Saccharomyces cerevisiae S288C: one gene and its partners. The protein of the gene in region 1 interacts with the protein of each later gene in a biochemical or structural test. Each region holds a gene or a part of one and is shown in the gene's direction. Other genes may lie near its edges. The genes, in order: SRO7, ATG1, SEC9 and SEC4.

Region 1 (7,241 bases):
CGTAGAATATATGTCTTTCGGCTCATCGCAAATTGTAGCACCGAAAAAAATGGAAGACGATAATAATAAACAAGTTTGAAAGTTTGAAAGCCGTGCAGTTTTTCAACGTATTAGGTTTTTTTATTCAAATAACTTTGACAAGGGCGTTGTACGACTTAGCACCTAATGAATAGGGGATCATTAGATGATGGGCCTAAACTACGTGAAGAAAAGCACTTCCAAGATTTTTATCCTGATCTTAATGCCGATACTTTACTGCCGTTCATCGTTCCCTTAGTGGAAACAAAGGATAACAGCACCGATACTGACTCAGATGATATTTCAAATCGGAATAACAGAGAGATCGGGAGTGTCAAAAGCGTACAAACTAAAGAATTGATTTTCAAGGGGAGAGTCACCACTGAACCACTAGTACTGAAGAAGAACGAAGTGGAATTTCAAAAATGTAAAATAACTACGAATGAGTTAAAAGGTAAGAAAAATCCATACTGCGTTAGATTTAATGAGAGCTTTATATCCAGGTACTATCATATAAACAAAGTAAGAAATAGGAAGAGTTATAAACAACAACAAAAAGAATTCGATGGTGTGGAGGCACCCTACTTCACCAAATTCTCTAGTAAAGAAGCCCCGAATATTACTATTTCGACGAGTACAAAGAGTGCAATTCAGAAATTCGCTAGTATTTCACCCAATCTTGTTAATTTCAAGCCTCAGTATGACATGGATGAACAGGATGAATTATATTTGCACTACCTTAATAAGAGGTATTTTAAAGATCAAATGTCTCACGAAATATTTGAAATTTTAATGACTACACTAGAAACTGAATGGTTCCATATTGAAAAACATATACCCTCAACGAATAGTCTGATTGCTAGGCATAATATTCTAAGGGACTGTAAGAATTATGAGCTATATGGTTCTGATGATGGAACAGGTTTATCGATGGACCAGGCGTGTGCAGTTTGTTTAGGCACAGACAGTGACAATCTGAATACAATTGTCTTTTGTGATGGATGCGATATTGCTGTGCATCAAGAATGTTACGGTATAATTTTTATCCCGGAAGGAAAATGGTTATGTAGACGATGTATGATCTCAAAAAATAACTTTGCCACTTGTCTAATGTGTCCAAGTCATACAGGTGCATTCAAACAAACAGACACCGGTTCTTGGGTACATAACATTTGTGCTCTATGGCTTCCAGAGCTATACTTTTCAAACTTACATTATATGGAACCTATAGAAGGCGTTCAAAATGTTAGCGTATCACGATGGAAACTTAACTGCTACATCTGTAAAAAGAAGATGGGTGCTTGCATTCAGTGCTTTCAAAGAAACTGTTTTACAGCATATCATGTCACGTGTGCCCGTCGAGCTGGTCTCTACATGAGTAAAGGGAAATGCACTATTCAAGAATTGGCCTCTAATCAATTCTCCCAAAAGTATTCAGTCGAAAGTTTCTGCCACAAGCATGCACCTAGAGGATGGCAAACGAGTATAGAAGGTATTAATAAAGCTAGAAAATACTTCTCTCTACTCTCTACATTACAAACCGAAACTCCTCAGCATAATGAAGCTAATGATAGGACAAATTCAAAATTCAACAAAACAATTTGGAAAACACCTAATCAAACGCCGGTAGCACCACATGTTTTTGCTGAAATATTGCAAAAGGTCGTTGATTTTTTTGGCTTAGCTAACCCACCAGCAGGCGCATTTGATATTTGCAAATATTGGTCAATGAAAAGGGAGCTTACAGGAGGTACCCCATTAACTGCCTGTTTTGAAAATAATTCATTGGGGTCCTTAACCGAGGAACAAGTGCAAACAAGAATAGATTTTGCCAATGATCAGCTCGAAGACTTGTACCGGCTCAAAGAGCTGACTACTTTGGTGAAAAAGAGAACACAAGCTTCAAACAGCTTGTCCAGATCCCGAAAGAAGGTTTTTGATATAGTTAAATCGCCCCAAAAATATCTTTTAAAAATCAATGTACTGGATATCTTTATAAAATCTGAACAATTCAAGGCTCTTGAAAGATTGGTTACTGAACCTAAATTATTGGTTATTTTAGAAAAGTGTAAACATTGTGATTTTGATACTGTCCAAATTTTTAAGGAGGAAATTATGCATTTTTTTGAGGTTTTGGAAACTCTACCCGGTGCATCAAGAATACTCCAAACTGTCTCATCAAAGGCAAAAGAGCAAGTAACAAATTTAATTGGGCTCATAGAACATGTAGATATTAAGAAGTTGCTATCCAGAGATTTTATAATAAATGATGACAAGATAGAAGAAAGACCATGGAGTGGCCCGGTGATTATGGAAGAAGAAGGTTTAAGCGATGCAGAAGAACTGAGTGCAGGGGAACACCGTATGCTGAAGCTAATCCTTAACAGCGGATAAAATAAAGGTTTTAATATTGCATTATGTATAATGAGTATGTATTTTTATGCTATTCTTGTAAAAGTTTGGCTTATTATTTACTTTCATGGAACACTTAGTAAAAATAACTTAGAAAGGTCGTCTTTTCTTTATTCTTTAGCATTTCAATACCGAACTAAATATCCGTTTTTATAGTTTAGTTGGTTTTGTTTAATTTCTAGAATCCTGTTCGGCGCTTTTGTTAAAAGTAAAAAATGAAAATTCAAACGAAATGAACCTAATCACGTTAGAATTTAAATCTTGGAATATGTTAAATATAAAACAAGAAGAGCAAGCAATACTATTTCTGACTAATTCTCTATACACATAAGAGCAAAACAAAATGTTCGGTAGCAAACGTCTGAAAAATGTTAAGGAAGCATTTAAGTCCCTAAAAGGCCAAAATTCAGAGACACCCATTGAGAACTCAAAGGCGTCTTTTAAATCCAAAAATTCAAAGACATCTACTATTTCCAAAGATGCGAAATCTTCCTCTTCTTTGAAGATTCCTATAAGTTCAAATAACAAAAATAAAATTTTTTCACTAGCAGAAACCAACAAATATGGGATGAGCAGTAAACCGATCGCAGCCGCTTTCGATTTCACCCAAAATTTATTGGCAATTGCTACAGTCACAGGGGAAGTCCATATTTATGGCCAGCAACAAGTGGAAGTGGTTATAAAACTGGAGGATAGATCTGCTATAAAAGAAATGAGATTTGTGAAAGGTATCTATTTGGTGGTCATTAACGCAAAAGATACTGTGTATGTTTTATCGTTATATTCTCAAAAAGTACTTACAACAGTGTTTGTTCCGGGGAAAATAACATCAATTGACACAGATGCATCCTTAGACTGGATGCTAATCGGCCTTCAAAATGGTTCAATGATAGTTTACGACATAGATAGGGATCAACTTTCCTCCTTCAAATTAGACAACCTACAAAAAAGCTCATTTTTTCCGGCTGCAAGACTATCACCTATAGTATCCATTCAGTGGAACCCTAGAGATATTGGAACTGTTTTAATATCATATGAGTATGTAACTCTAACATACTCATTGGTTGAGAACGAAATCAAACAATCCTTCATATACGAATTACCACCTTTTGCTCCAGGAGGCGACTTCTCAGAAAAAACCAATGAAAAGAGAACTCCCAAAGTTATTCAGTCCTTATATCACCCTAATTCACTGCACATTATCACTATTCATGAAGACAATTCCTTGGTTTTCTGGGATGCTAATTCAGGCCATATGATCATGGCAAGGACAGTGTTTGAGACAGAAATCAATGTTCCACAACCTGATTACATACGCGATTCTAGTACTAATGCTGCCAAAATTTCGAAAGTGTATTGGATGTGTGAAAACAATCCAGAATATACTTCACTACTCATCTCTCATAAGTCAATCAGCAGAGGAGATAATCAAAGTCTCACTATGATCGACCTCGGTTACACACCTAGATATTCAATAACCTCTTATGAAGGTATGAAGAACTACTATGCAAATCCGAAACAAATGAAGATATTTCCCTTACCAACCAATGTGCCAATAGTGAATATACTACCAATTCCAAGACAGTCCCCGTATTTTGCAGGATGTCATAATCCGGGGTTAATTTTGTTAATCCTAGGTAACGGTGAGATAGAAACAATGCTATATCCTTCTGGAATATTTACAGATAAAGCCTCTTTATTCCCTCAAAATCTTTCCTGGCTGAGACCATTAGCCACGACTTCAATGGCCGCTTCTGTACCAAACAAATTATGGCTTGGTGCGCTTTCTGCAGCTCAAAACAAGGATTATTTGTTGAAGGGAGGGGTTAGAACAAAAAGGCAAAAACTTCCCGCTGAGTACGGTACAGCATTCATTACCGGCCATTCTAATGGCTCAGTTAGGATATACGATGCTTCCCATGGGGATATACAAGATAATGCTAGCTTTGAAGTGAATCTATCAAGAACGTTGAACAAGGCCAAAGAACTAGCAGTTGATAAGATATCTTTTGCCGCAGAGACTCTCGAGTTGGCGGTGTCAATTGAAACAGGAGACGTTGTTTTATTCAAATATGAAGTAAACCAGTTTTACAGTGTTGAGAACAGACCAGAAAGCGGTGACCTGGAGATGAATTTCAGGCGGTTTTCTTTGAATAATACGAATGGTGTTCTCGTCGATGTGAGAGACAGGGCACCTACCGGTGTTAGGCAGGGATTTATGCCATCAACTGCCGTGCATGCCAACAAAGGGAAAACATCTGCAATCAACAACAGTAATATTGGATTTGTTGGAATCGCATATGCTGCCGGAAGCCTTATGTTGATCGATAGAAGAGGTCCTGCAATCATTTACATGGAAAACATTAGAGAAATCTCGGGAGCTCAAAGCGCATGTGTTACCTGCATCGAATTCGTAATTATGGAGTATGGAGACGATGGTTACTCTAGTATATTGATGGTCTGTGGTACTGATATGGGCGAGGTAATCACATACAAAATTCTTCCTGCATCAGGTGGAAAGTTCGATGTGCAACTAATGGATATTACTAATGTTACCAGTAAGGGTCCGATACACAAAATTGATGCATTTTCAAAGGAAACAAAATCTAGCTGCTTGGCAACTATTCCAAAAATGCAGAATTTAAGTAAAGGCCTTTGCATTCCTGGTATTGTATTAATAACTGGATTCGATGATATCAGATTAATAACACTGGGCAAATCTAAAAGTACACATAAAGGTTTCAAATACCCGCTTGCCGCGACAGGTTTATCTTACATCTCAACCGTTGAGAAAAATAATGATAGGAAGAACCTAACCGTAATAATTACATTAGAAATCAATGGCCATCTAAGAGTTTTTACTATTCCAGATTTCAAAGAACAAATGTCTGAACATATTCCATTTCCAATTGCCGCAAAATACATTACAGAATCATCTGTTTTAAGAAATGGTGATATAGCGATTCGAGTGAGTGAATTTCAGGCGTCACTATTTTCTACTGTCAAGGAACAGGATACGCTAGCGCCAGTTTCTGACACACTGTACATCAATGGAATCAGGATTCCCTATAGGCCACAAGTAAATTCATTACAGTGGGCAAGAGGCACTGTATATTGTACTCCCGCTCAATTAAATGAATTATTGGGTGGCGTGAATAGACCTGCATCCAAATACAAAGAGAGCATCATTGCTGAGGGAAGTTTCTCGGAGCGTTCTTCAGACGATAATAATGCGAACCATCCGGAACACCAGTATACCAAGCCCACCCGTAAGGGCAGGAACAGTAGTTACGGGGTACTAAGAAATGTTTCTCGAGCTGTAGAAACTAGATGGGACGCCGTTGAAGATAGATTCAACGACTATGCTACCGCCATGGGAGAAACAATGAACGAGGCTGTTGAGCAGACTGGAAAAGATGTAATGAAAGGTGCCCTTGGTTTTTAAATACATACACTAATTCATACAGGGTAATGAGCAACTTCCTTCTATACTTATTTTTTTTTAGTTCTATATGCTTTATAAATTAATTTGAATCGATTTATTTTTCATTATACATGTCTAGTTTTACGAAGGTTTGTAAATACATGAGCTATCAAGTTTATAATCCTTTAATTAAACGAGTGACCTCATTTAGACCATCTTCATGAATTTGTGATAACTTTTCTTGAACAATAGGAACAATGTCAGCCGCACTAACCAATTCACCATCATCATCGGCAAATTCTTGGCCCAATCTTTTGACACGTAATTTACCTTCTAAGTACTCCTCCTTACCGAGGATTACGGCAATGTGACAACCCGCTTTTTCAGCAGCATCGAATTGCTTCCTAGGATTAGCCTTGGCCTTATAGACATATTCAGCTTCAATGCCAGCATCCCATAATTGCTTAGTAACCTTCATTCTTTCGGGTAAATAACCAGTCCAGTCCTTACCACCACCAAAAGCCATAACGAACACCTGTGTAGCCGTTGGCTTTATAGTTGTAGAGGAATTAATTCTTTGTTTGATCAAAGAAAATATTCTTTCAACACCAAATGAAATACCAACACATGGAATTTGAGTAGATTTTTTGCCGGAAGCTTCAGAGAACATGTTGACCAAATTATCATATCGACCACCGGCTGCAATAGAGCCGACACCAACGAATTCTGACGCGTCTTCTGCAGATTTGGCCTTCTTCTTCAATTCTGAAGCATTCTCTGGTGGAGCAGATGCAGAAGTAACAACTTCATAGATCAAACCTGTATAGTAATCCAAACCTCTTGCAAGAGAAAGATCAAAAGAGATGAATGAGTCAATGTCAAATGCTTCGGTATACTTCATCAAAGTAGCAATATCATCCAAACCTTGTTTAGCCTTTTCGTTTGAAGTAATGTTGGCATCTGCGGATAGAACAGCGTGAATTTCCTTCAAAGAACCATTTAATTTAACATACTCACCGATTTTATCAGCAGTTTCTTCGGATTGACCTTTTTCTTCGGTCATTTCCTTCTTGACTGCTTCCCATGGAGATTTGTCCAACTTATCGACAGCAGAAGAGATTTTCCTCACATCCTCATCTTTAACACCAGCGATTTGGAAGATCCCATCAAGAATCTTCCTGTGATTCAATTTGATTTTGAAATCTTTGATTCCCAAACTGGTCAAACCTTCCACTAAAATGGACAAACATTCGGAATCAGGAACCATAGATTCGAATGTGCCTGCAACGTCAAAATCACACTGGTAAAATTCTCTCATACGACCCTTAGTCATGGCTGGTTGGTCTCTTCTGTAGACTTTTGCAATGTGATACCTCTTGATACTCTG
Region 2 (6,722 bases), on another chromosome or scaffold:
TTATGATACTACACATAAAGTTTCCGCCGTTTAGTCTATATCGCAAAGAATAACGGTGGGACGGGAGATCGCCTTTTATATGCAATTTCGTGATCTGGGCGGTTATTTTACTTTTTTTCGACGCATAAAAAAGCAGGAAAGATGGTAAATTCGGTTCGTTATTCAAGATTTTTAGAGCCAGAAAGATATTTGAGCGTGCCTTCGTGAGAAGAGGCTTAGGTTGAGACGATGATGCTGAAATTATGGCAAGACACGAATTCTTCTTCAAGTTTCCCTTGTCATAATAAGAAGAGAAAAACATACCTTTATGTCGGTTGCAATTAAGAAGGTTGTATAGAGCATCTCAAATGCTGCTTTTACTTTATTAAACGTTGACCAAATAATACGGCGCTTTTGTTTCGACAACGACACACTATGATGCAAAGCGGATCCGGGTAATCGATAAATGGGGGCACCCGGAAATTATTGTAAGTTGAAGAAAGTTAGTGTTGATCTCTAAATGCTTCACAAAAGGGTGGAAGAAGAACATTTTCTCTTGATCAATCATTAATATAGATGGAGGCAGCGTTCTGTCAATCACAGATTATAGTTTATTTATACTTAGTCAAAAATGAGGTTTAGGAGTTCTTCCCATAGCTTAAAACATGTTGACAGAGAATTAAAGGAGTTGATTAATTCGTCCGAGAATGCCAATAAATGCGGTGAATGTGGTAATTTCTACCCAACTTGGTGCTCAGTTAATTTGGGGGTTTTCCTTTGTGGTAGGTGTGCCTCTGTTCATAGAAAAGTTTTCGGTAGCAGAGACGACGATGCCTTTTCTAACGTTAAATCACTATCAATGGATAGATGGACAAGAGAGGATATCGATGAATTAGTGAGTCTTGGAGGCAATAAGGGGAATGCTCGGTTCTGGAATCCTAAAAATGTCCCTTTTCCTTTTGATGGAGATGATGACAAAGCCATCGTGGAGCATTACATTAGAGACAAGTATATTTTGGGTAAATTCAGGTATGATGAAATAAAGCCTGAAGACTTTGGATCCAGAATGGATGATTTTGATGGGGAATCGGACAGGTTTGATGAAAGAAATAGAAGTAGGAGCAGGAGCAGATCTCATTCTTTCTATAAAGGGGGCCATAATAGGTCTGACTACGGCGGTTCCAGGGACTCATTCCAAAGCAGTGGAAGCAGATATTCTAGGCAACTGGCAGAACTCAAGGACATGGGTTTCGGTGATACAAACAAAAATTTAGATGCATTATCGTCCGCTCACGGAAATATCAATAGAGCAATCGATTATCTAGAAAAAAGTTCAAGTTCAAGAAATAGTGTATCGGCAGCAGCGACAACATCAACTCCGCCCCTGCCCAGGAGACGTGCGACAACAAGTGGCCCACAGCCAGCTATTTTTGATGGTACAAATGTAATCACGCCAGATTTTACTTCAAATTCAGCATCTTTTGTACAAGCAAAGCCAGCAGTTTTCGATGGTACCCTTCAACAGTATTACGATCCTGCTACCGGAATGATATATGTAGATCAGCAGCAATACGCCATGGCTATGCAACAGCAGCAACAGCAACAGCAACAGCTTGCTGTCGCACAGGCTCAGGCTCAGGCACAGGCACAGGCACAGGCTCAAGTTCAGGCTCAGGCTCAGGCTCAGGCCCAGGCTCAGGCTCAAGCACAGCAGATCCAGATGCAACAGCTTCAGATGCAGCAACAGCAACAGGCGCCATTATCTTTTCAGCAAATGTCGCAAGGAGGAAACCTGCCACAAGGTTATTTCTACACACAATAAAAATAAGATACATTGCCGCTGCTCCGCATTACATATCATATAGAGTGACACTAAGTAATTAAATGACACTAAGTAACGAAAGATATCTGTAAACAACGACTATATACCAGAATTAGTCATATTCTCTATTGTATTCACCCTACACAGCCGCATTACACAGCTGCTCCGGACGTTTTACGCTGCACATCAATGACTAATACCACTGTATTTGATCCACACTTAGCGCAAAAGTCACCTGGGTGGCGTTTTCCGCTCGCGCTCCGCCGGTGAGAGCGAGAAAAAAAAAAGGGATTGGGCGGTAATGTAAGGAAAACCCACTAGTTAAAATCAATGAGATAAGGAACTCTCTTTTTTTCCCGTTAATCATCTTTTCCTTGTTCGTTTCGTGTATCTGTAATGAATCTTATCGGAGTAACTATTACTGGAAAGCCATACCGTTAAAGAAGCAAGCATATCATTCGTATTCAAGCATCTGTTTTTCTTTTTAACCGCTCGGCTCTGATTTCTTAAACCATTTCCCCCATCAGCATCAGTTTGTGATTTGTAACTATATCGATCGTGGAATCGATGGAATTCTAAGCGTCATTTAGTTGGCAACAAAAGGAATCGAGCATCTCATAAAGGAGCTTATATTATTAATATCTTCCTGATCGTACTATTTTTTTTTAGCTTTTTATTTTTTAGGCCGAGGTTAATTCTAGAACGCCACATTTCATCACCTTTAAGTTAAGTACCAAGGCCATCTTTTACCCTTTTTAGTTTCTGGGGAAACAGAGAACAGTACTATAGAAGATAAAAAGATATAATACAATCGTAGTAATAGTACCCATAATAAAATAACATATAATATAATAAAAACATAAGGCAAAGGAGATAGGAGAATAATCATTGATATCTCCACAAAACGAATTTGAAGCTACCCCATATTTTCAAATCTCTTTTACAACACCAGACGAGAAATTAAGAAAATGGGAGACATTAAAAATAAAGATCACACAACCTCTGTGAACCATAATCTAATGGCAAGTGCAGGAAATTACACCGCTGAGAAAGAAATCGGAAAGGGTTCGTTTGCCACTGTATATAGAGGGCATCTGACATCCGACAAATCTCAGCATGTAGCCATAAAGGAAGTATCAAGGGCGAAATTAAAAAATAAGAAATTACTAGAGAATTTGGAAATAGAAATCGCTATCTTGAAGAAAATCAAGCATCCTCATATCGTCGGACTTATTGACTGTGAACGAACATCAACAGATTTTTATTTGATCATGGAGTACTGTGCTCTTGGGGACCTAACATTTCTGTTGAAAAGGCGTAAAGAATTGATGGAGAATCATCCTCTACTAAGGACCGTATTTGAAAAATACCCTCCACCGAGTGAGAACCATAACGGCCTGCATAGAGCGTTTGTCTTGAGTTATTTACAGCAGTTAGCGTCCGCTTTGAAATTTTTGAGGTCTAAAAACTTGGTTCATAGAGACATCAAGCCTCAAAACTTACTATTATCTACACCCCTAATTGGATATCATGATTCAAAAAGCTTCCATGAACTTGGATTTGTTGGGATCTACAACTTACCCATTTTAAAGATAGCAGATTTCGGGTTTGCAAGATTTTTGCCAAACACGTCATTAGCAGAAACTCTTTGTGGCTCACCATTATATATGGCACCAGAAATTTTGAATTATCAAAAATATAACGCTAAAGCAGATCTGTGGTCTGTCGGTACAGTGGTATTCGAAATGTGCTGTGGCACCCCACCGTTTAGAGCTTCCAATCATTTGGAGTTATTCAAGAAAATTAAAAGAGCAAACGATGTCATAACGTTTCCTTCATATTGCAATATTGAACCAGAGTTAAAAGAGTTGATATGTAGTTTATTGACATTTGATCCAGCCCAAAGAATAGGATTTGAGGAGTTTTTTGCTAACAAGGTAGTCAACGAAGACTTGTCTTCTTATGAATTGGAAGATGATTTACCTGAGTTAGAATCCAAATCAAAAGGTATTGTAGAAAGTAATATGTTCGTTTCTGAGTATTTATCTAAACAGCCAAAGAGTCCGAACAGTAATCTTGCAGGTCATCAATCAATGGCAGATAATCCCGCGGAGCTCAGTGATGCCCTCAAGAACAGCAATATATTAACTGCCCCAGCCGTTAAAACAGACCATACACAAGCCGTAGATAAAAAGGCTTCAAATAATAAATACCATAATAGCCTAGTTTCAGATAGAAGCTTTGAAAGAGAATATGTGGTGGTAGAGAAGAAATCGGTTGAAGTTAATTCATTGGCAGACGAGGTTGCTCAAGCAGGATTCAATCCAAATCCTATTAAGCACCCAACTTCAACTCAAAATCAGAACGTCTTATTGAATGAGCAATTCTCTCCAAACAATCAACAGTATTTTCAAAATCAAGGAGAAAATCCGAGGTTACTGAGGGCCACATCATCTTCCAGTGGAGGTAGTGATGGGTCTAGGCGACCATCTTTGGTGGATAGACGCTTGTCTATATCCTCGCTGAATCCATCTAATGCATTATCAAGAGCCCTCGGTATTGCATCAACGAGATTGTTTGGTGGTGCAAATCAACAGCAGCAACAGCAACAAATCACATCTTCCCCACCGTACAGTCAAACTTTGTTGAATTCCCAACTTTTTCATGAACTTACTGAGAATATAATATTAAGAATAGATCACCTACAGCATCCAGAGACACTGAAATTAGATAATACTAATATCGTTAGTATTTTGGAATCTCTGGCCGCAAAGGCATTTGTTGTTTACTCTTATGCAGAAGTGAAATTTTCTCAAATTGTTCCATTATCAACAACATTAAAAGGCATGGCTAACTTTGAGAACAGGCGCAGTATGGATAGTAATGCTATTGCAGAAGAACAAGACTCAGACGATGCAGAAGAAGAGGATGAAACGTTGAAAAAGTACAAGGAAGATTGCTTATCCACGAAAACTTTTGGAAAGGGTAGAACTTTATCTGCCACATCTCAGTTGAGTGCAACTTTCAATAAACTACCACGTTCGGAAATGATCCTTCTATGTAATGAGGCCATTGTCTTATATATGAAGGCATTATCCATTTTATCAAAATCTATGCAGGTAACGTCCAACTGGTGGTATGAATCTCAAGAAAAATCATGTTCTCTAAGAGTTAACGTGTTGGTACAGTGGCTAAGGGAAAAATTTAATGAATGTTTAGAAAAAGCTGATTTCCTGAGATTAAAAATTAACGACTTGAGATTCAAGCATGCTTCTGAGGTAGCTGAAAATCAAACTTTGGAAGAAAAAGGTAGTTCGGAAGAGCCAGTATATTTAGAAAAGCTATTATATGATCGTGCATTAGAAATATCTAAGATGGCCGCACATATGGAATTAAAAGGAGAAAATTTGTACAACTGTGAATTAGCTTATGCAACTTCACTTTGGATGTTAGAAACTTCTCTGGACGATGATGATTTTACGAATGCCTATGGTGACTACCCTTTTAAAACTAACATACATCTAAAAAGTAACGACGTTGAAGATAAAGAGAAGTATCATAGTGTGTTGGATGAAAATGACAGAATAATCATAAGAAAGTATATTGATAGTATTGCAAACAGGTTGAAAATATTGAGGCAGAAGATGAACCACCAAAATTAAGTGATGCATAATATGGTTTTCTTATTAAGTACAAATGACCTGCTATATTTTCAAGTATCTTCATGATTATGTTATGCTACTCTCGAAATGCTTTACGAGTTCGTCATTAAAGTATTCAAATTTTATTTTCCCTTTGTGTTTTGTTTTGTTTTTATTTCTACGTGATTTTTTTCTTGAAATCCAGCTCTTTTATACCTGGATGGGTTTTATTTTGATGTTTAAATGTTAATTAAGGAAATTATTGAATTCCTTCGGTTTCGGTGTGTTTTTTTCTTTTTAAGTTTTTTTTTGTTGCGTTTAGTACTTGCCTTTGGCTATACATATCCTTTTAATCTAATTTTTATTTCTTCAAAATTTGATTCTTTAACCTTTTGTTCTATATATATATATAAATGTATGTATGTATGATTTGATTGAGGAGGCTTTAACAAGTCATTAATATCTTTATTATTTTTACTTGTTGAGTTCATTAAAATTCATTTTATAATTTGTTGTTACAAACAGTATTTTACAAGTCATAATAAACGTTCAAAAACAAACACAATATTAAAAGAATTGGTATTAGGATCCGACATGACAATTAACTTAGATCCTTCTATCAAGTTTCTAATCATATATTACATCTATTAAAATAATTTACATATATCATGCTAAAGCTTATAAAGAGACATTCTTCTTCTCGTGCGCTGGGCGTCGCTAGCCTCAAATACAAGTGATGCGTCTGCTTCTATTCTAAGGTCATCCTTGCTGTTAGATTTCCCTTCTACCAGGTGGGCTTTTATACGTTGAGGTACATTACCGACAGGCGTAAGAGTAGAGCTCAAACTTGCTTCCGTACTCTCAAAGGGATATTCTCCTACAGGAGACATAGTTGTATATTGTGGAAACTCACAAGAATTCACTCTTAATGAACTTCCACTCTCACCTATCAAGCATTGTTGATCACCGATTGCTGGGGCATCCTGAATACTGATCTGAGATGCAAAAGCGGTGGATGATGTGAAAGAGGAAAAGGACGAATAGGATGACTCTCTAGAACCGATGTTGTGATATGCTGAGGGTGATAAGGTATTTGCGTCGTATATTGATGGAGAATATGTTGAATTTCTGTCAGCACCAGTCCTAAGGTTATTGTGGTCAAAATTTTCCATATAAACGCTATCTAAAGAGGCGAATGATGAATTCACTGGTAGGCTGACCAATTCTACCCTTTTGCATGAAGAGGGCGGTGAAACTTTCAACTCATGAAACGTCTCCAA
Region 3 (6,073 bases), on another chromosome or scaffold:
GATTAATGTATAGATTATACTCTTGGATGTAACGGATGACAGAGTTTGGAAGAAGATATTGAACTGACATTCCACGTCTGATGAAAAGCCGCACTTTCGTAGAGGAAATATCATTGTAAATAAGTTGTTTGATAATAAGGATATTTCTTCTGTGTTCATACATGATATCATGGGAAAGCAAGAAGGACCTAACATCAGAACCAGTCCTTTCCACGATCAAACATCCATAATTACCCAAAATATGGTGCAGGTCTGAATCAGCCCACACATGAGGCTCGCCCATGGATTCGATAAGATCACCGCCTGCCAATAACATGATTTTTACGCCCATTTTTTCACCATCTACAGTCATGATTCCACCTCTCTTGATATTTATTTCATGATTGAAATGGTCCAAGACTTTTGCTGTCCTTGTATAACTTGATTGTAAAGATTCCCAGGCATCAACCATTAACCAAGATGATGTCCGCTCGCATGCTAATTCGCACATGCGGACACGATGATAAGCTGGGGCTAACCCTCGCTTTTGATAGTTATCACTTACTGGAGAAAAATAACCACCAACCACTTCAAAACGCGTTTGCTCATTGATATCATCTAAAGCCATTTCAAACATTCTCAAATGTAGGTATGTTATGGGAGAAAATGATCCACAAGCAACGATGATCAGAGGCAGTTTTTCAGGATCTTGTAACTTTTTCGTCAATCTGTGTACAGGAAATTCGTAATCTTCAATAGTTCTGGCTTGTCTTACAATTGTGTGAGGAACTTCTTCCAAATCAGCAATTTGGCTCTTCAGTACCCCCAAATTCCCAGTCATCGTAACATCCTGTAGAGTAGCGTCAATTCCATTCGATTGCCCTTCACTTTCCTCCTCCGATGATACATCCCGAGATAGTGGCTGGAAGTCACTAGTATTTAATGGAATATGGTCCATTCGGTTGCTTGAGTTGGCGTTTTTTTTCCTTGACGACAGGGTTTTGTAAATGTCGAGATTGAAAGGAGCATCGATCGAAGAATTATAATCAGCTAAAACATATGGAACTATGGGTCCAGATTTTGGTATCGTATGTGTTGGATCTGGCGGTGGTTGTAGTTCTTCATTTGGCTGTGGCGGTTTAAAATCGGGTGCTTTGGTGGGATCCATTACGTAATAAGTGCACTTTTTCTTGCCTTCTCCACTTTAAACTCTCTCTCTCTCTCTACTTAACAGTGGAGGAACAGTGACTAAGGTAGAGTATGATTGTACTATAACTTACAGTCTACTGTCGTCACGCTGGGTCAATTTACATTGTTATTTTTCTTGGAGACGACACCGTCACATATGGACAGCGAGTATGGTAGATGGTATAAGCAAAAAATGGCCAGAAACAGGCGATTATTTGGTAAAACGTAAAGATTGATCAAGACGATAAGTTTGAGAGATTGTGAAGCTAAATAAAATCGTATTGCGAGTATTTTACATTCCATATACGAATAGTACGATATCCATGTGGGGTGCGACTCAGAGACTTTCTATTACCCGTCTTTCAAAAAGAAATGAGATACGTTGATCCTGCTTTTAACAATTTCGAATCGTTTGCGTAATTATATGACTTGCTCCGGTGTATAAATAAATAAAGTACATTCTTGGTACTCCTGAACCTAGCCTGGAGTAACTCGGAATAATACACCATTGACACCAAAAGAATGGGATTAAAGAAATTTTTTAAGATTAAGCCTCCAGAGGAAGCGACACCAGAACAGAACAAGGATACTTTGATGGAACTGGGTATTAGTGTCAAAAACCCTAGCAAGAAAAGAAAAGAGAAATTTGCCGCCTACGGTAAATTTGCAAATGATAAAGCTGAAGATAAGGTATACGCGCCACCAGGTTATGAGCAGTATGCTAGGCCACAGGATGAACTTGAGGATTTGAATGCTTCTCCCTTAGATGCCAATGCTAACGAGGCAACTGCTGGTTCTAATAGAGGTTCAAGTGGCACGCAAGATCTCGGAAATGGAGCAGAATCCAATTCTATGCAAGATCCGTACGCTATCGAAAATGATGATTACCGATATGATGACGATCCTTATGCAAGGTTTCAAGCTAATAAAAGTAATGGGAGAGGTAGCGTCAATGCTGCGCCTTATGGTGATTATGGAGGGGGGTACAATGGCACATCTCTGAATTCATATAATAACGATGGCCCGTATAGTAACCAAAATACTTCAAACAGCTGGGTGAATGCGAATGGCCGTAATAGTTTAAATCATTCAAACAGCACTTTAAACGTAGGGCCTTCGAGGCAAACAAGGCAACCGCCGGTTTCAACGTCGACCAACAGCTTATCGCTTGACCAAAGAAGTCCCTTAGCAAACCCGATGCAAGAAAAGAGAAATCCTTACGCTGATATGAATAGTTATGGCGGGGCGTATGACTCCAATACTAATAGATCTAGCGGTACTCGACAAGGAAGCTCCAAGAATGCAAATCCATACGCCTCTATGGCGAACGACTCATATAGTAATGGAAATTTGAACAGGTCTGCAAATCCATATTCTAGTAGAAGTGTGCGTCAACCGCAATCGCAACAAGCTCCAATGACTTATACGCCCTCTTTTATTGCTTCTGATGAAGCAGCACGCAATAGTGAAGTTGATTTAAATGAAGAACCTAGAACAGGTGAATTTGATTTTGAAGAAGTTTATGCTGACAAGTCTGCAGAAAATAGAGCGGCATTAGATGAGCCTGATTTGAATGCAGTAATGACGAATGAAGATTCAATAGATTTAAATGCGTCCGAAGTTGATCATAGTTCAAGACAGCAGCAGCAGCAACAGTGGTTCATGGATGAGCAGCAACAGCAACAGCAACACTTTAACGCAACAAATAACCAATATGGAGATCAAAGGGGTTACAAAACATTTGAAGAAATACAAAAAGAAGAGGAGGCTCGCCAGCAGCAGGAAGAAGATGAAGCAGTAGATGAAATCAAGCAGGAGATCAAATTTACGAAACAGAGTTCCGTAGCCTCTACTAGAAATACACTAAAAATGGCTCAAGACGCCGAAAGAGCAGGTATGAACACATTGGGTATGCTGGGTCATCAAAGTGAACAATTGAATAACGTAGAAGGAAACTTAGATTTAATGAAGGTGCAAAATAAAGTTGCAGATGAAAAAGTTGCAGAACTAAAAAAATTGAACCGTAGTATATTGGCTGTCCATGTTTCTAATCCGTTTAATTCCAAGAGAAGGAGAAGGGAGAGGGAAGAGCAGCTGAAGAATAGGAAAATTGAAGAAAAATTAATGAGAGAGCAAACAAGTCAACAATTGTCTCAGTCCACTCAAAGAATAGAGGGTGCTATGAACGCAAATAATAACATAAGTGAGGTGCGGGAAAGATATCAGAGGAAGAATGTTCTAGAAAAGGCAAAGAGATATCAGTTTGAGAATGATGAAGAAGATGACGAAATGGAATTGGAAATTGATAGGAATTTGGACCAGATTCAGCAGGTTAGCAACAGATTGAAGAAAATGGCCTTGACCACTGGTAAAGAATTAGACTCTCAGCAAAAACGTCTCAACAACATTGAGGAAAGCACTGATGATCTAGATATCAATCTCCATATGAATACCAACAGGTTGGCAGGTATCAGATAGAATATGCCTGTAAAAACTATGTAATATATCACAAGTAACAACATTTCATCACCATTACTACCATTATGTAGAAATTTATGAGCAAAGACAAATAAGTAAAGAAAAAGACATTGATATAATATAAGAGTATGCTTTCTTCATTTTAATGTTTGGTTGTGAATTGAAAGAATACCATTCGGGCACGCAATAGTTATGAACTTAACCGAGCTCAAATAATTTAAAGATAAAAGATAAAAGATAAAAGATAAAAGACAAAAGAAAATTCATAGCCCATGTTGAAGTATCCCAGCGGGAAATGTTGCTATCCAACAGAAAGTACCAAGCCAGTTTCAAAAAGGTACAGAATTAAGTGATGCTATCCGTCCCACAACTAATTTTCTCCAGCGGAGGAAATATACGCGGAGGGGGGGAGGAAAACCTCTCAGTAAGCAATGAAGGGATAGATAATGGGGGCGCGCCTGCCTAGCTTAGGCTAAGAAACTCCTTCGAAAACAGGGGGCTGCGAGCGCAGAAGCGAACACTTGTCATTTGTATAAAAGGACTATTTATAAGTTTGCTTTTTGTCACTCTCTTGGCCCTAATTACCCATACTATTGTAACAATTGTTGTGTAAACTCAATTATACAAATAAACGAACAATCAACAGTAACAAACCGCTCAAGTGTACAACCAATCAGAAAAAATGACGAGAACAAACAAGTGGACCGAACGTGAAGGAAAGGCTGATCCAAAGTACTTTTCGCACACTGGTAACTACGGTGAATCTCCAAATCACATCAAGAAGCAAGGTTCCGGCAAGGGTAATTGGGGTAAGCCAGGCGATGAGATTGATGACTTAATTGATAATGGTGAAATACCCCCAGTGTTCAAGAAAGATAGAAGAGGCTCAAATTTGCAATCGCATGAACAAAAGTTTGAAAACGTCCAAAAGGAATGAGGGCGTTTTCAAGATAAAAAAAGGTTTTTTGATCTCTGAAGGATAGTGGCCTTCTCCACTGATTTATATGCATCTATAGGTATATACTTGCATGCCTACTTCATGACTTATGTAATACAGTTTTCTTACATCCATTTAATTTACGTTCGAAGAAGTTTTCAACATTTGTTTATATGGACATTCCCTTTTTTTGGTTCCTCGCAATGTAAACCTCCCTTTGCGATTCCACCCTCTTCACAATAAGCTCTTTAGTCAAGTATTCACTGAATTTTCCGGCAGCAGTGAGGACAGCCGTGCCAATATGATACTTCTCGCAGTTATACTGAGACATTGAGGTGGCGTCAGCATCGATAATAACGGCATCAACATATTTACAACTTAAAACGCTCAAGACGCGTTCCTTCATCGTCATAATGGTACTCGAGTAATCGCTTGTGGTAATACCAACAATCAATTTCTTATCGGGGTGAAGATCCATTTTCAGCTTTCTTAACTGATCAATATCCCCCATATGGAATAAGTCAAAATCCCCGTCAACATAAACACAATCTTCTGCATCGAATTTGTATCCACCATTGACCAAGACATTGTCCAAATCCCTCTGAAAGACATAACAATGTTTTGAAACGGCATCTTGGGCGACAGAATAGAAACTCAATTCCTGGGTGGTGGGATAATAATCAGGATGAGTCGGTGGCAAAGATTTTTTCGTCAATATTCTATGTATAATCTCGGTAGTACTTACGCCATATGTTCTTTTAACTACCTTGAAGCGCCCCATCTCTTTCACCAACTTATAGCAGTCTTCTCCATTAGCATCTATGGTGATATCATCACCATGAACAACATATTGGCACTGATATTTATCCATCCAATTGGGATCTGTAACATATGGCGCCGCTTCAACCACTTCCGAACACCACCTATTTGATCTAGTATGCTCATATCTTTCTGAAGAGTTCATTACTGGTGTTCCTTTGTTATGCTGAATATCTTCATCGGTATGCACACCACAGAATAGTTTACCATTTTCTTTTGAAACTGTTCGACGAGCCTGCAAAATGGCTCCCGCATGCCCATGATGTGTGAAATCAAAGCAGCCGTCTATCCAAACTTTATCCGGATCTAAGTTTACCGTCATCCAGTCAGTATATTTCAAGTCCCGATCCTGTAAAGCATTTGTCTCTGGAAAATTGAACAAAGGCTATCAACATCTGCATTCTTGCTTCTTATTTTGGCCGCATGATATCGTGCCACGCGATAACGAAAACAATAGTTCAACAATTAGGCTAAGCTATCGTGGTTGCTGGTATACCATTCTTCAAAAGTTATTAATCTTTTAATACTGGTAATCCATAATCGCGTTCTTTCATCAATCATTATGTTAGCAGCATTCCGGCCTCCTTGAATTTTCGAATGTGCACTACGAGCATGAATGCCTACGCTAGTAACACCAATAGGCCAGGCCACATTGCCGATACTGAGTTTCAT
Region 4 (4,942 bases), on another chromosome or scaffold:
TACACTGTATGAAACAATTAGTTGGGTCATATGGCGTAGTCATCAATAAAATTATTCCATCATTAGAGAAAGCGATTAAGGATCATGATTATATGAAAATCCAAGTTATTTTAAATGTTTTGTTAATTAAGAAAATCCATAGGAAGCTTATGACGGATTATAAAGACATCGGCAGATTGATATTTCTGCTTATTGAATGTTGTCGTGTGAATGAATTAGAGATTGGTATGTATGCAGATAAAATCTTAACTGACATAGTGATTGGGATCAAGATTCCTTCTAGTGTATGTGTCATTTCCGATCAAGCTTTCTTACCTTTAGCACCTCCTGATGGTACTATTAATTTGCAAGTTGAAGCGGTAAAGCTTGCCAAAAAGAAAAAGCGTGAGTACTACCTCTCTCTGTTAGTGGATTTGCAGGACAAACTTTTAGACAAATTAGATAATGAAAAAGATATGGGGTGGAAGATAAGAATGTTCATTTTACGTTTTGTTACACAAATCCAATCGAACCTCGAAAGCAAACCCGATAAAAGAGCAGTATTTTCAATAATCTCCCAAATCTCCACAAAACATCCCGAAATCATACATTTGGTTGTAAAGTCATTGTTGTCGACGTGCAACAAGATAATATCTCTCTCTGACTATGAATATGACATCACCAGGGCCTATAAGAATGAATTCAATCCATCATTTGTGGAAATACTGGACACTTCGACCACAAGCTTCCCTAAAACGTTTACTGAAGAAATGAATAACTTTGATAACCCCAAGTATTTTATCGATTTGAGGGCGTATGTAGGGTGGCTATGTTGGGGAAGGCTTATGTACGTCATGTCGCCGAAAGCTTTAAAGCTCAATTTACGTGAGAATGAACTGGAAGTCCTCAAGACAGCTGGTCATCTATTGACAAGAGAATTCCTGAGAGATGTTACAATGAATTTAGTCCAAGATAATGAAACTAGGGGTGTTTTTAGTAGTGGTAACGTGTCATTTTTCTCTTTAGTAATCCTTTTGATATCATCTGGTTTCTGCGAACTGAATATGTCGGATCTCTTTGAGCTATGTGAATCCTACTATAACAAAGACGATAAGGCTTCGATGATCATGTCTGTCGAGATAGTGGCTGGCTTAGTTTGCGGGAGTAAGTTTATGTCAGTCTCTGACTTGGACAAACGTGACACTTTTATCGAAAACTTCCTAGCCAAATGTTTAGATTATGAGTTGAACCATGACGCATTTGAAATTTGGAGCACCTTGGCATGGTGGTTGCCTGCAGTCGTTGATTTAAGAAGGTCTAAAACTTTTTTTTGCCATTTTATCAACGCCGATGGCATGTTTGACCGTGAATCTGATGCAGCCACACATCAAACCTCCAAAATTTACATGCTAAGAAGTATCTTGATGAGCATGGAATTTAGAGCCCCAGATGTTGGTAAGCTATTTGATGAGTTGGTATTTGATCACCCATACGATCAGGTTCGCCAGGCTGTCGCTAAACTATTGACGACCTTAGTTCAAAATCAAAGTAATCCGTCAATTTCAGATCCAACCACATTATTAGAAGCAGAACGGAATGATCCAGATGGATTAGGGTTACCATTAAAAAGCGTCCCAGAAAAGGTGGATGCCTATATTAAGAAGCAGTTTGAGATCATTAAAAATCTGGAAGATTCCGTTGTCGGCCTGAATCCTCAACAATTTATTAAGACAGACTATTTTTACAGGACATCCACAATATTTTATTGGATCAAAGAAATGGCGAGAGGGCCTAATAAAGTTTTGTTAGTTCCATATTTAGTCGATTATGTTTTACCATTTCTGATCGGATTAGTGAAACATAAAGATGTTTGTGCTCTTGCCAGTTTAGATCCTGTTCGATTGTATGCCGGCTTGGGCTATATGCCGATCAGAAAGAACCATGTTGCCGCCATTGTTGACTATGTTTGTTCGTCAAATGTAGCACTATCTTCAAACCAAACGAAACTACAGCTAGCTTTCATCCAACACTTTTTATCAGCGGAACTGCTTCAACTTACTGAGGAAGAAAAGAACAAAATTTTGGAATTTGTTGTCAGCAATTTGTATAACGAACAGTTTGTAGAGGTGAGAGTTCGTGCGGCATCCATTTTGTCTGATATCGTCCATAACTGGAAAGAGGAACAGCCGTTGTTGAGTTTAATCGAGAGATTTGCAAAGGGTCTCGACGTCAACAAATACACGTCGAAAGAAAGACAAAAGTTATCCAAAACGGATATCAAGATTCATGGTAACGTTTTGGGTTTGGGAGCTATTATATCAGCGTTCCCCTATGTTTTTCCCCTACCGCCATGGATACCCAAGCAACTAAGCAACTTATCCTCGTGGGCCAGGACTAGTGGTATGACTGGACAAGCTGCCAAAAATACTATTAGTGAGTTCAAGAAGGTGAGGGCCGACACTTGGAAGTTCGATAGAGCATCTTTCAATACGGAGGAACTGGAAGACCTGGAGGGTGTCCTATGGAGAAGTTACTATGCCTGATTCATATTAGTATAGGATATTAAGCACATATCTAGACATATATGTACATCTAAACAAATAGCTGGAGCTATCTGCTGATTAGTTTTACTCTAAAAGTAAGTTGTTAGTGTAACTATGATCACGGCTGCGTGCCGGGTAATAAATCAATTTTGAGGAAAACTGGAAGTTCACCACTGAGAATGATCAACGGCAGGGAAACGTTATACCAAACAAAGCATTCTACCTCTAGGGAAGCTGGAAACTTGAATTACCCACTATAGCTTGTCTTTTAGTGATCCATTATTCCAACCTATTGCAATTCCAAGAAAATAAACTAGGAACTTTTTTTTTTGGAAGAATAAGAAAAGGAGAAAAAGTAGACATACTGTATATACACGAGGGCGTATCGTTCACCAGAAAGAATATAAACATAACAAGATAAACATGTCAGGCTTGAGAACTGTTTCTGCTTCATCCGGTAATGGAAAGAGCTATGACTCTATTATGAAAATTTTATTGATTGGTGATTCTGGTGTTGGGAAATCATGTTTATTGGTTCGTTTTGTTGAAGACAAATTTAACCCGTCATTTATCACCACCATTGGTATTGATTTCAAAATAAAGACTGTCGATATCAACGGTAAGAAGGTAAAGCTGCAACTTTGGGATACCGCTGGTCAAGAACGTTTCCGGACAATCACCACAGCGTATTATCGTGGTGCTATGGGTATCATTCTTGTATATGATGTGACAGACGAGAGAACATTTACTAATATCAAGCAATGGTTTAAAACCGTTAATGAGCATGCGAACGATGAAGCACAGCTACTGTTGGTTGGTAACAAGAGCGATATGGAGACGAGAGTGGTAACAGCTGATCAAGGTGAAGCCTTGGCTAAGGAGCTGGGTATACCATTCATCGAGTCCAGTGCTAAGAACGATGACAATGTCAACGAGATTTTTTTCACCTTGGCGAAGTTAATCCAAGAAAAAATCGACAGTAACAAGCTTGTTGGCGTCGGTAACGGTAAAGAGGGCAATATTAGCATCAATAGTGGGAGCGGAAACAGTTCTAAATCAAATTGCTGTTGAAGAAAAGAAGATTTTTGCTTCTTTGAGAATTAATCGTGAACTGGAATTAGAGCTATAAATCGCTTGATTCTTTTTTCCCTTTTTCTCAATATTCGCAGGTTATTTTTCCTTTATATATATACATTGTTTGTATCTTTTTTTGATTACCATACTTACTATTTTTATATTAGTCATATTAGATGTCACTTTTATATTATCTAAACAATTCAAACTTCTCACACTAACTTTTTCAGCATACTTCTACTGTTGTTCTCTGCTCTGGAAGGTATTTTCATCAGGCGATTGGTAAAAAATCAAGAAAGAATCTAAAAAATAGTGCAACAGGAAAACGAGGTTCCCAGTTTCCCTGGGAATTCTTATCCAAGTATATATTTTACTTTTAAGATTCAGCACTTTTATTTCGTTCTAATGTTTTTACCGGTAGTAAAGTTTTGCTTCTTGAATCCACTATTCAACTACTTGCGCTTATGTAAGGTTCCTGTATGGTTGCATAATCACTCAATTCGAAAAAAAAACCCACGTGCTGCTTGGAAATGAATCCGCACTGCGGTATAGCACTTCCAGAAAGATACTGACTGCGAAATTCGCTTTATGGAGTGTTTAAGCAATTGGTATCTTACCCATTAAGAGTCATTTCTTTCTTCTTGCCAACTTTTTTCCATCCTATTATGACCTCAAAAAAGGCAGGCTCTCTTCGTCTTATCTTTTCTATCGGAAGCGAATTACTGGGAAAGAGGCATAGGTATAAACAGATAAAATAGACGAAAAGAGTTTAGAAAAAAAAGTAGAAAGAACGACTACACCTCAACATAACGACACTTTTTTGACATGCTGTTTGGAGTGAAGTTGGCTAATGAGGTTTATCCTCCTTGGAAGGGTTCTTATATTAATTATGAGGGCTTGAAAAAATTCCTGAAGGAAGATAGCGTGAAGGATGGAAGTAACGATAAGAAAGCACGCTGGGACGATTCAGATGAATCCAAGTTTGTGGAAGAGTTGGATAAGGAACTTGAAAAAGTCTATGGTTTTCAACTAAAAAAGTACAATAACTTGATGGAGAGATTGTCCCATCTGGAGAAACAAACAGATACGGAAGCAGCCATAAAGGCCTTGGACGCTGATGCATTCCAACGTGTATTGGAGGAACTGTTAAGCGAGTCTACCGAATTAGACAATTTTAAGAGATTGAACTTTACTGGGTTTGCTAAGATTGTTAAGAAACATGACAAGCTATATCCAAAGTATCCATCTGTTAAATCTTTGTTGGAAGTTAGATTAAAGGAATTGCCTTCCCATTCGGAAGAATATTCCCCATTGTTGTATCGTATTTCATTTTTGTACAACATTTT

The links.
Region 2: of the proteins of SRO7 (region 1) and ATG1, one has a biochemical effect on the other in vitro, tested with the Saccharomyces cerevisiae proteins (one study listed by BioGRID).
Region 3: the proteins of SRO7 (region 1) and SEC9 form a complex in vitro, tested with the Saccharomyces cerevisiae proteins (4 studies listed by BioGRID).
Region 4: the proteins of SRO7 (region 1) and SEC4 form a complex in vitro, tested with the Saccharomyces cerevisiae proteins (4 studies listed by BioGRID).

Annotation. Positions count from the first base shown.
Region 1 is NC_001148.4:631,350-638,590, forward strand, and holds SRO7 (Rab GTPase-binding protein SRO7), read left to right. Parts: upstream 1-2,773; coding exon 2,774-5,875; downstream 5,876-7,241. Other genes in the region: NTO1 (Nto1p), read left to right, coding at 166-2,412; HTS1 (histidine--tRNA ligase), read right to left, coding at 6,030-7,241. UniProt on the Saccharomyces cerevisiae protein: Acts as an allosteric regulator of polarized exocytosis by promoting the targeted fusion of vesicles with the plasma membrane.
Region 2 is NC_001139.9:157,296-164,017, forward strand, and holds ATG1 (serine/threonine protein kinase ATG1), read left to right. Parts: upstream 1-2,769; coding exon 2,770-5,463; downstream 5,464-6,722. Other genes in the region: GTS1 (Gts1p), read left to right, coding at 611-1,801; serine/threonine protein kinase TOS3, read right to left, coding at 6,114-6,722. UniProt on the Saccharomyces cerevisiae protein: Serine/threonine protein kinase involved in the cytoplasm to vacuole transport (Cvt) and found to be essential in autophagy, where it is required for the formation of autophagosomes.
Region 3 is NC_001139.9:506,619-512,691, reverse strand, and holds SEC9 (Sec9p), read left to right. Parts: upstream 1-1,689; coding exon 1,690-3,645; downstream 3,646-6,073. Other genes in the region: nicotinamide-nucleotide adenylyltransferase NMA2, read right to left, coding at 1-1,147; STF2 (ATPase-stabilizing factor family protein), read left to right, coding at 4,328-4,582; ECT1 (ethanolamine-phosphate cytidylyltransferase), read right to left, coding at 4,752-5,723; mRNA splicing protein PRP18, read right to left, coding at 5,867-6,073. UniProt on the Saccharomyces cerevisiae protein: Component of a SNARE complex that may be the effector of SEC4 function in exocytosis.
Region 4 is NC_001138.5:127,389-132,330, forward strand, and holds SEC4 (Rab family GTPase SEC4), read left to right. Parts: upstream 1-2,945; coding exon 2,946-3,593; downstream 3,594-4,942. Other genes in the region: proteasome activator BLM10, read left to right, coding at 1-2,522; VTC2 (vacuolar transporter chaperone), read left to right, coding at 4,422-4,942. UniProt on the Saccharomyces cerevisiae protein: Involved in exocytosis. Maybe by regulating the binding and fusion of secretory vesicles with the cell surface. The GTP-bound form of SEC4 may interact with an effector, thereby stimulating its activity and leading to exocytotic fusion.